Bombyx mori: one gene and its partner. Each later gene encodes a partner of the first gene's protein in a complex. Links are inferred from orthologs where the notes say so. Each region holds a gene or a part of one and is shown on either strand. Other genes may lie near its edges.

The links. Proteins that work in one complex are often made in the same cells at the same time.
Region 2: bromodomain-containing protein 8 (region 1) and vacuolar protein sorting-associated protein 72 homolog share a complex: the UniProt entries of both Homo sapiens proteins name them as parts of the nuA4-related complex. The link is inferred for Bombyx mori from reciprocal best matches to the Homo sapiens genes BRD8 and VPS72.

What each region holds. Positions count from the first base shown.
Region 1 is NC_085117.1:1,939,382-1,943,594, forward strand, and holds the start of bromodomain-containing protein 8, read right to left. Parts: upstream 2,943-4,213; 5' UTR 2,591-2,942; coding exon 2,406-2,590; intron 1,130-2,405; coding exon 949-1,129; intron 143-948; coding exon 1-142. Other genes in the region: uncharacterized protein LOC101740762, read right to left, coding at 4,139-4,213. UniProt on the Homo sapiens protein: May act as a coactivator during transcriptional activation by hormone-activated nuclear receptors (NR). Isoform 2 stimulates transcriptional activation by AR/DHTR, ESR1/NR3A1, RXRA/NR2B1 and THRB/ERBA2.
Region 2 is NC_085112.1:12,270,771-12,274,998, reverse strand, and holds the start of vacuolar protein sorting-associated protein 72 homolog, read right to left. Parts: upstream 2,949-4,228; 5' UTR 2,793-2,948; coding exon 2,662-2,792; intron 1,712-2,661; coding exon 1,588-1,711; intron 1,254-1,587; coding exon 1,118-1,253; intron 776-1,117; coding exon 599-775; intron 1-598. UniProt on the Homo sapiens protein: Deposition-and-exchange histone chaperone specific for H2AZ1, specifically chaperones H2AZ1 and deposits it into nucleosomes.

The sequences.
Region 1 (4,213 bases):
GCCTTTCCTCTCTTTCTTTGAGCCAAGCTACCTTCTTCGCTGCTTCTCTTTCTTTAGCCCGTTTCGCGGACTCCATGTTGGCCCAGAGCTCAAGCAGACGCTCATCAGACGTTGAAGGATTACGGATCTCCGATAATTCATCCTGTGGTACAAAGGTAAAGAAAGATATATTACTAGCTTATATTTATGAGTCAAAGTGAAGTCGTCGTGGCCTAAAGGATAAGAGGTCCGGTGCATTCGTATGTAGCGATGCACTGGTGTGTAAAAATAAGACTTTGACTTAAAACTCTCATTACTAGGCTATAAAACCTTTTAAAAGTTGATGTTGATGTTGACACCGAACTGTCACTAAATGGTCAGATATTAGCCAATACTTAACAACTCTGACAGCACTTAAAGTTTTATAAAAAGCTTGAGATTTATAAAAAAAAAAAAGTGCGTGCGTACAAAGTACACATGTCAGAAGTGAAACTTTTTTGGCGAACTAATTTATAAGTCTTACTTATATTTATGCAAATCTAAAACTTTAGATTTCCAAGACTTAGAAGAAGGGAAAAAGGAAGATATGTTCCCGCCAAAAGTCTGTCAAATGTCAATCTCAAACCTCAGTGTTGACATTCACATTATGCTTAGATTTCTAAATTGTAGATGACTAATATTTTGCCAATTGAATTGACTAATTTAATTTCATGCTATGTTCCAAATTCTTTTCATTTCATTTCAATTCCTATTAACATTTTTCACAAAAAAATAAAATATTAGGCTGTATGATATGATACATTTGCCTTTCCAGTTGGAAAAATACAACAACTACTACTACTGACATTTGACAAGTACTTAATTTTAATAGTAGTTTGATGTCCTTCCGTTGCATACCTGCGTGACGTTCTGTAAAAATTTTACCCTCATAAAGAAGAAAGAAAGAAGTTTCACTTGAAAATTAAATACCTTCATTACTTCATGTTGTTGACTCATTTCAGCAATATTCTTCTGGATCTCGGCTATCCGATCTTGGGTTAAACGTTTCAATATACTCTCCTGTGGAGTTTCCACGCCACCGTCAGAGTTTCTCTTTTTTCGTTTCGGCGTTTCCACATGTTCTAATAGCGTTCCATATTGTGCAGCACAGCTGATGGATGGAAATGTGTTAATGACATACGGATAACGGAGCCCACAGTTCTTGTAGATCTAAATCTCATTATCATTCAGCTATCCAATGCTTCAGAGGAAGACATGACATCTACGCAGTTTGATATGGATTGAATAAGCTCATAAACAATATAACTATTTAAAATAATAGAATGAATATAATTAATTAGAGCTTTAGTGTCTTTCAAATAAGTTATTTGTAATTTTGTTAATTTTTTTATGAATAGGATTAATTTACTGGGGATTTAAGGAGCAATCTGCAAAATTTAAATTTTTTCATAGATTTTAAATAAAGAAGGTACATACTTAGTTAGACTCTTTTTATATGCCATTATATCAGAACTCTTTCCAAAGTGTAATTACATTAAATGATTTTATTTTAAAGCTAGTGCTATTTTATTATTTATTTTATTTATTTATTTATGTACACACAGAAAACAAGACACAGTACAGAGTAATAGGAAAATTATGTACAAAGGCACTACTTATTTCTTTGAGAAATCTCTTCCAGCAGACCTGCGAGAGGATAATGAGAATAATAATAAAATGTGATAAGTGTGTGTAGAACAAACTTATTGCTATATATGCTACTTATTTTAGTTTATTTGATAATATATTTTTATAAATTATTTATAATATTGAATATTCAATTGGCTTTTGACAATGATCTCATTTTATTTTGTTTAACTCGGTGTTATTGTTTTGTCAAAATGTTGTATTAACATTTCTTTTGAACATTTAATTATTGGGGCCACCCGCCATATAATATAAGAGCTGTGTTTAACCAATCCTAATGTTGTCAAAGTTATAGAGGGTGTCTTTTAGCGAGTGGAAAGACTTAAAGAGCGGACAGTTCACGTGGTATCGACATGTTATGCGTAGAGAGGAGATGCATGAGACTAGGAGATTTATGGAAATTGTAGTGCAAGGTAGAGGGGGAAAACTTGACCAAAGAAGACATGGATGGAGTGTGTGAATGACGATATGAGAGAGAGAGGAGTGTGTGTTGACCTATTATAGCCTACTAAATACTATAATAGCTCTACTGAATATAATTTTAAGTTTTATCGAGTTCAAATAACGTGGAAAGCGTGGTGGAATTTTCATTGGTGAATAATGCAAAAATGGTTTGAAAATAAAAAATAAATGTGTAAAAACGAATGTGTTTCTCATCAACTCAGCCACCACTTCACTATCGCAAGCTATTTCAAACCTGTATCAATAATTATATAGTAGATATAAAAGAAAAACAAAACCTTTTTTGGGAATACCAGTCCGGAGGCCTGTTTGGCTCGCCAAGGGTCTTTAGAGCGCGGGAAACCGACATCCAGTTCTGATCCCCGCTTCTGACCACGGCGGAGGCCAGGCATAGCTGTTCACGTATATTCCAAGTGTCCAGAGGAACTCTTTTGAGCTGAAGACGCTCTTGTATCGAGCTCATTTTGAGGTTATGTTTTGGAAATGGAGTTTCGAGATTACATAACTATTTATAGTTGTTTAATTGTCCATGTAATGTGTATTTACTGTTTTGAAAGTATATTATTTTTATTTTATTATTTAACTGTTTAGAACACAATTAATAAGTGTTTATTCTATGATACAAACGTCAAACATGATACAAAACAAATATATTTTTTTTAAAGTATTTAATGACCTGGTTATCAAGACCTTCGGGTCAAGTCTTATTTTAATTGTAATGAAAACTTTTTTATATGTAAAATTATAATATTTTATTTCATATTATAATTTTACATATAAATGAAGTTGATTAATATAAAACATGGCATGAAATGAAATCAAATGAAATGAAAACGAAATGGAATGAAAAAGAAATCAATTAAGATGAGATGATATAGGAAGAAAATATATAATCTCATTAAAATGGTTGTCATTTCATTGTAGACTTTTTCAGTGAAATTTTTGGAGGATCCCGAGAAGTTACGTTCAGCGGCTTGTTAGTTGGCGTGTTCAATTATTATTATTTCTTTTATTTATTGCTTAGATGGGGGAATGAGCTCACAGCTCACCTGGCGTTAAGTGGTTACTGGAGCCCATACAAGGTAAATGCGCCACCCACCTTGAGATATAGGTTCTAAGGTCTCAGTATAGTTATCTCGAATATATTAAGTGTATAAATCTATGATAGTTAGACTCTAATACACTTTTTAAATAAGATAGATCTATGACATATTTTTTGAAGTCGTCGTGGCCTAACGGATATGACGTCCGGTGCATTCGTGTTGAGCAATGCACCGGTGTTCGAATCCCGCAGGCGGGTACCAATTTTTCTAATGAAATACGTACTCAACAAATGTTCACGATTGATTTCCACGGTGAAGGAATAACATCGTGTAATAAAAATGAAACCCGCAAAATTATAATCTGTGTAATTACTGGTGGTAGGACCTCTTGTGAGTCCGCGCGGGTAGGCACCACCACCCTGCCTATTTCTGCCGTGAAGTAGTAATGCGTTTCGGTTTGAAGGGTGGGGTAGCCGTTGTAACTATACTTGAGACCTTAGAACTTATATCTCAAGGTGGGTGGCGCATTTACGTTGTGGATGTCTATGGGCTCCAGTAACCACTTGATACCAGGTGGGCTGTGAGCTCGTCCACCCATCTAAGATATAAAAAAATAAAAAAATATTTCCACTATTTTCCACAATCCACTGAGTTGTCTATGTCGTGGGGCGTTAGGGATGATAATCGCGTGCCAAGTGAGCCTTAGAATCGCCTACCGATTCGACACAATTAAAAATCTAATCTTTTAAAGTCCTTATAGGTTATTATTCCCAGTATGCGTTTAGGGTCATGTTTGTCATTTAGGCCTGAAACGAGTCACACGAAATTAATTATCAGCATTCAAACGACTTTTTAATTATTTTTAAGGAATTCCGGAAAATAAAATAATATCTCACATTAATTTCTCTCAAATTTTAGATACATATATTTTGTGTGTAACTTGAAACTTAGTTTTTCTTTAGTTAATTTTATGAGCTATGTCCCGCCGAGTTTCCCCTCTGCCTCTCGTAAATAAACTTCAACACGGTGTCAATGTCATCAGA
Region 2 (4,228 bases), on another chromosome or scaffold:
TATAATAGGAAAAATAACTGTATTTAACATACAATGTTGGGCTTTGCTTGTTTCGACAAAGGCAAATAATTCGATATCTTAGAATATTATTATTCTTAGAATTAGATTATAGAAAAAAGAAAAAGACGCCAGCTGAGTTTCTTGCCAGTTCCTCTCAGGACGGAGGCTAGTTTTTGTTAATTGGTGGTAGTTCTTTTTGACGTTCAACAAGTATGTACTTTCATTTATGTTGAATAAAAAATTTTTTTTTTGGTTTTTGTTAATAGTATAAGTCCCTTTATGGGCAATTTTATCAAAATTTTAAAAATATCCTGATTTATGTTCCAAAGTATGAGACAGCTCACAAAACAGAACAAGTTTAGAGAATTCCTGAAGTTGTACTTTAACTTTGCACGAAAATTTTAATTCACGTAATTCTTGCTGGTCATCATGTGGGCATCTTGTGATGCCTACACAACCCTCTGCTTATTCCGGTTTGAAAAACGATACAGCCGTTATAAAATAAAATTGAGATTAAGACCTCGTATTTCAAGGTACTGTTAATTACTATGTCTTGAAGCTCTATCACCCATTCATACAATTAGAAATATATATTCACCTAAACTCTTTAAGTTCTCTTTCTCTGTCTCGACTGCTTCTTCCAACAGCTCTTCCTGGGTCGGCATCTTCTCTTCTACTTTCTTCGGTTTCTTCTTTTTCAGCTCTGACCTGATTTTTATCCTTTGTATTGTCTCGGCAGATTTCATAGCTGTACTTTGTCTTATAGACTTCCGTTCTTCAGTTAAAAAATAGGACTACATTTATTTACATATTATATTATATATACATTTTAGTTGTGAATTCTTTACAGTTCAAACTATTTACATTTTTACTATTTATTCATTTACTATTTTCTTGCAATTGATTCGATTTCAGTTTCTTAGCCAGGTTCATAAAGACTTAAGATATTTATTTTGTATGGTGAGGTTTGAGAGATTTAGCTATGAATCAAATTTCCTTTCTCATACAACACTACTCTTACTACAAAACTTACTGTTACTTAAGCAAAACTTATTGTTTTATTTATTTATAATGACACCAAATAAAGTATATCATTAAAAGAAAAGTTTAAAATTACCTATTGAGGTATCAACAATTTTGTCCACGGCACTTTTGTTTTGTTTTTCAACTTTGTCTTCTATAGATTTATCATCTTTGGATTTTTTGATGACTGTCTTTTTTGATTTTTCATTTAATTTCTTCTTATTGGGGTCCTGAAATATCATTATTGCATTGAGATTTTTATTTGAAATAATGTCTGGGCAGTTCATATTTATAAATATATCTACGCTATTCTATTTCAATGTTTTACAATTTCTGCCTATTTCATACAAGTGTAATATTAGTTTCAATTATAAGATGTGTAGTGCAAAAGGTTACTCAGTTTTATTATTATGACATACAAAACGATTATTGAAAGAATAAACCAAACATACCTGATAATGCTAATCAATAATCATTACAAAATAATATAGGGGACATATCCTGGATGGTGCCTACCACTGAGGATAACTCTATAAAACTCATTGAAGAATATTTTAATTATACCTTATAAGCTTTAGTGCCAACTTTTCTTTTAGCTTTTTCTTCAACTTCCTGGTCAGACACTGGTTCATCATTCTCATCAATATCAAAATCTGAATCAACTTCATCATCAACTTCCTTTTCTTGTCTAAAATGTTAAAAATTTCAAAGTTAACCACTGAACATTTTAATGCAAGGGTCAAGTAAATTCATTAACTATTTTATTAGGCTATAATATATACTTTATACTATATATTAACAACTTTTTCCCTACCTATTCACATGTTCTACTTTTCTTCTATTTTTATTATTCTATTCACATCTGCCTAAGAACTATGCAAATGGATGAATTTGATTCAAGCCCTACTACACTCCACCAGAGGGTAATAGGAAAGAAGAAAGAAAAAATTCACTTGTAAGTTAAGAGTCTATTCCAGCTTCTCGCAGACTAGTAGATAAGCTCACAGGCTCAACCTTAAAGAATTTACTAACACTAACTCTGGCAAGAGTAATACTTTGCAGATTCTACCACCAGATTGGAATCGCAAACCACTAAGAATATCCAAAATATATCAAATATTTATTTGGTGCCAGTAAATTTGCTTGTTTCCGTAGCTTATTTTTTCTCTATAGGATTAACTTTGTTAATGTAACTCTGCCATTATTATTTTAACATTTTTTTATGATTTAATCATAGTTTTATAGGATATTATGGATCAAAAAAATTGAACAAATGTTTATATACAATATGTTAGACGGAGGCAATGAGACAGCAGCTAACATTTTGCTGGAATGTGCTGAATTTGCAGACTACTTGACAAAATATCTTACGACCTTATGATTAACAACAAGAAGTGATTGATTGCCTTACTGGAAAAGCATGATTCTCAGAAGTGAGAGTTTCCGCTATATGTCGAAGCCCTTTGTCTTGTACTTTCAGAGACTAGCTAGATAGCAGCGGAAAAAATCTAAGTAACTCATCAGCCCACATTTCTACTCGCAAGTACCTTTCAGGGAGTGTCGTTTAGGCTCGGTTCTCCGAAACCAAAAGCTTAATAGATTCAACGTATATTCTATGAATACTATGATATTACATACTGATATTCTACGTCCTCTTCAACATCATTAAACCCTCCGTATGTTGTTTTGTAAAAATCATCCTCTTCCTCCTCGTCAAGGAGTTTAGCCATACGATTTCCAGCGTTTGATCTTCGTGCCCGTTGAGCCATTTTGTAAAACAGCTCGAATTTTGTTAATATAGAATTTTAAGGAATCAGTTTCAGTCAAGAAGTTCATAAATGTTGTTAATAAAAACAAAATTTTGTTTGTTACTATTAAAAATCAAAATTTGACATTCACAGTATGTTTACTCGATTTCTCTGATAGTATTGTTAAAGGGAACAACAATCATACAGCCAAACTTATAAAAAGACAGTGACAAATTTAGATTTAACTGTGGTGGATTGAAGATGTATCTACAGCACTGAAGTCTATGATCTACAGCCACTGTCAGTCTTATATACATTAGTAGGTACACATACCTATTTAAATAGTATATGGTAGATATATAGATACAAAGCCCGCTAAAACTAACACGTAGAATTATTATTTTATTATTTTAACCGCAAATGTTGTAGGTAACATAATTAATTAGACTTAAATACAAGCTACGTAGTACGTAATCGCGTTTTTTAATTATGCATCAGCATGTACGACAGGTCCTCAAAAATCTTTAAAGATATTTTACCAATTTGTATTTGCTTTTTATTGAGTTTGTATTGAAACAATACACACAAAAAAAATTTTTTTTCGTAGCCTTTCTCATAATCGTAGGAAATAATATGTATTTGCCTAAGAAGTTCCTGTTCGTGAGAACTGGCCATTTGAAATGCAATTTTTGTATGACTGGCAATAAATACTAATTTAAATAAATAGATAATATTTTGAAATTCAGTCAATTGTTTATTCCCTAATGTTTTATTTTTACTATTTGTATCTTTTCAATAATGTAGATACCGTAAAAATATGAGTAATTATGGAATAAAAGATCCATCGCGGTGGCACTGCCGCCCAAACGGCTCACAACATTTAAAACTGAATACACAACTCGTTATTGGTTTAAACGAGTCAGCCATCGAAATTTTGATCTAAAAAAAATATATTCATCTCTCTCTCCCTCTCGTCATTACCCGAAAACTAAAATCAATAACGACAAAGTAGACAAAGGCAATAGTGGAAGCTGACGTGAAGCGTCTTTCAACGTTGTAGCCCAAGAGCCCGTGGACTCTACCTGTATGTATTTGACCAGACCTGAATTTTCGTACATTGAGACCCCTATACCTACCATGCATGAGGTGGGGACTCACTAAGCTCAAAGTGGTCGACGCGCCGAGCGCTCAGGTAGGACAGGTACCGATTTTGACGGATTTTAAATCCATTTGACCACGTCTACCGTTTTGAAATTTTGAAAATATATGATTATTATTATCGGAAAATAAGAATGGCATACCATTACCGCGCATTTTACTTTGTGGCAGACCACTTTGAAAATGCTAAAAAAATAAAATTTTAAAAGTAATTGACCAGATCTGCCATTGATATAATAATATGTTGTTTATTGTAGTCTTAAAAACTTATATTGATCACGGCAGACCTCTACATTGCG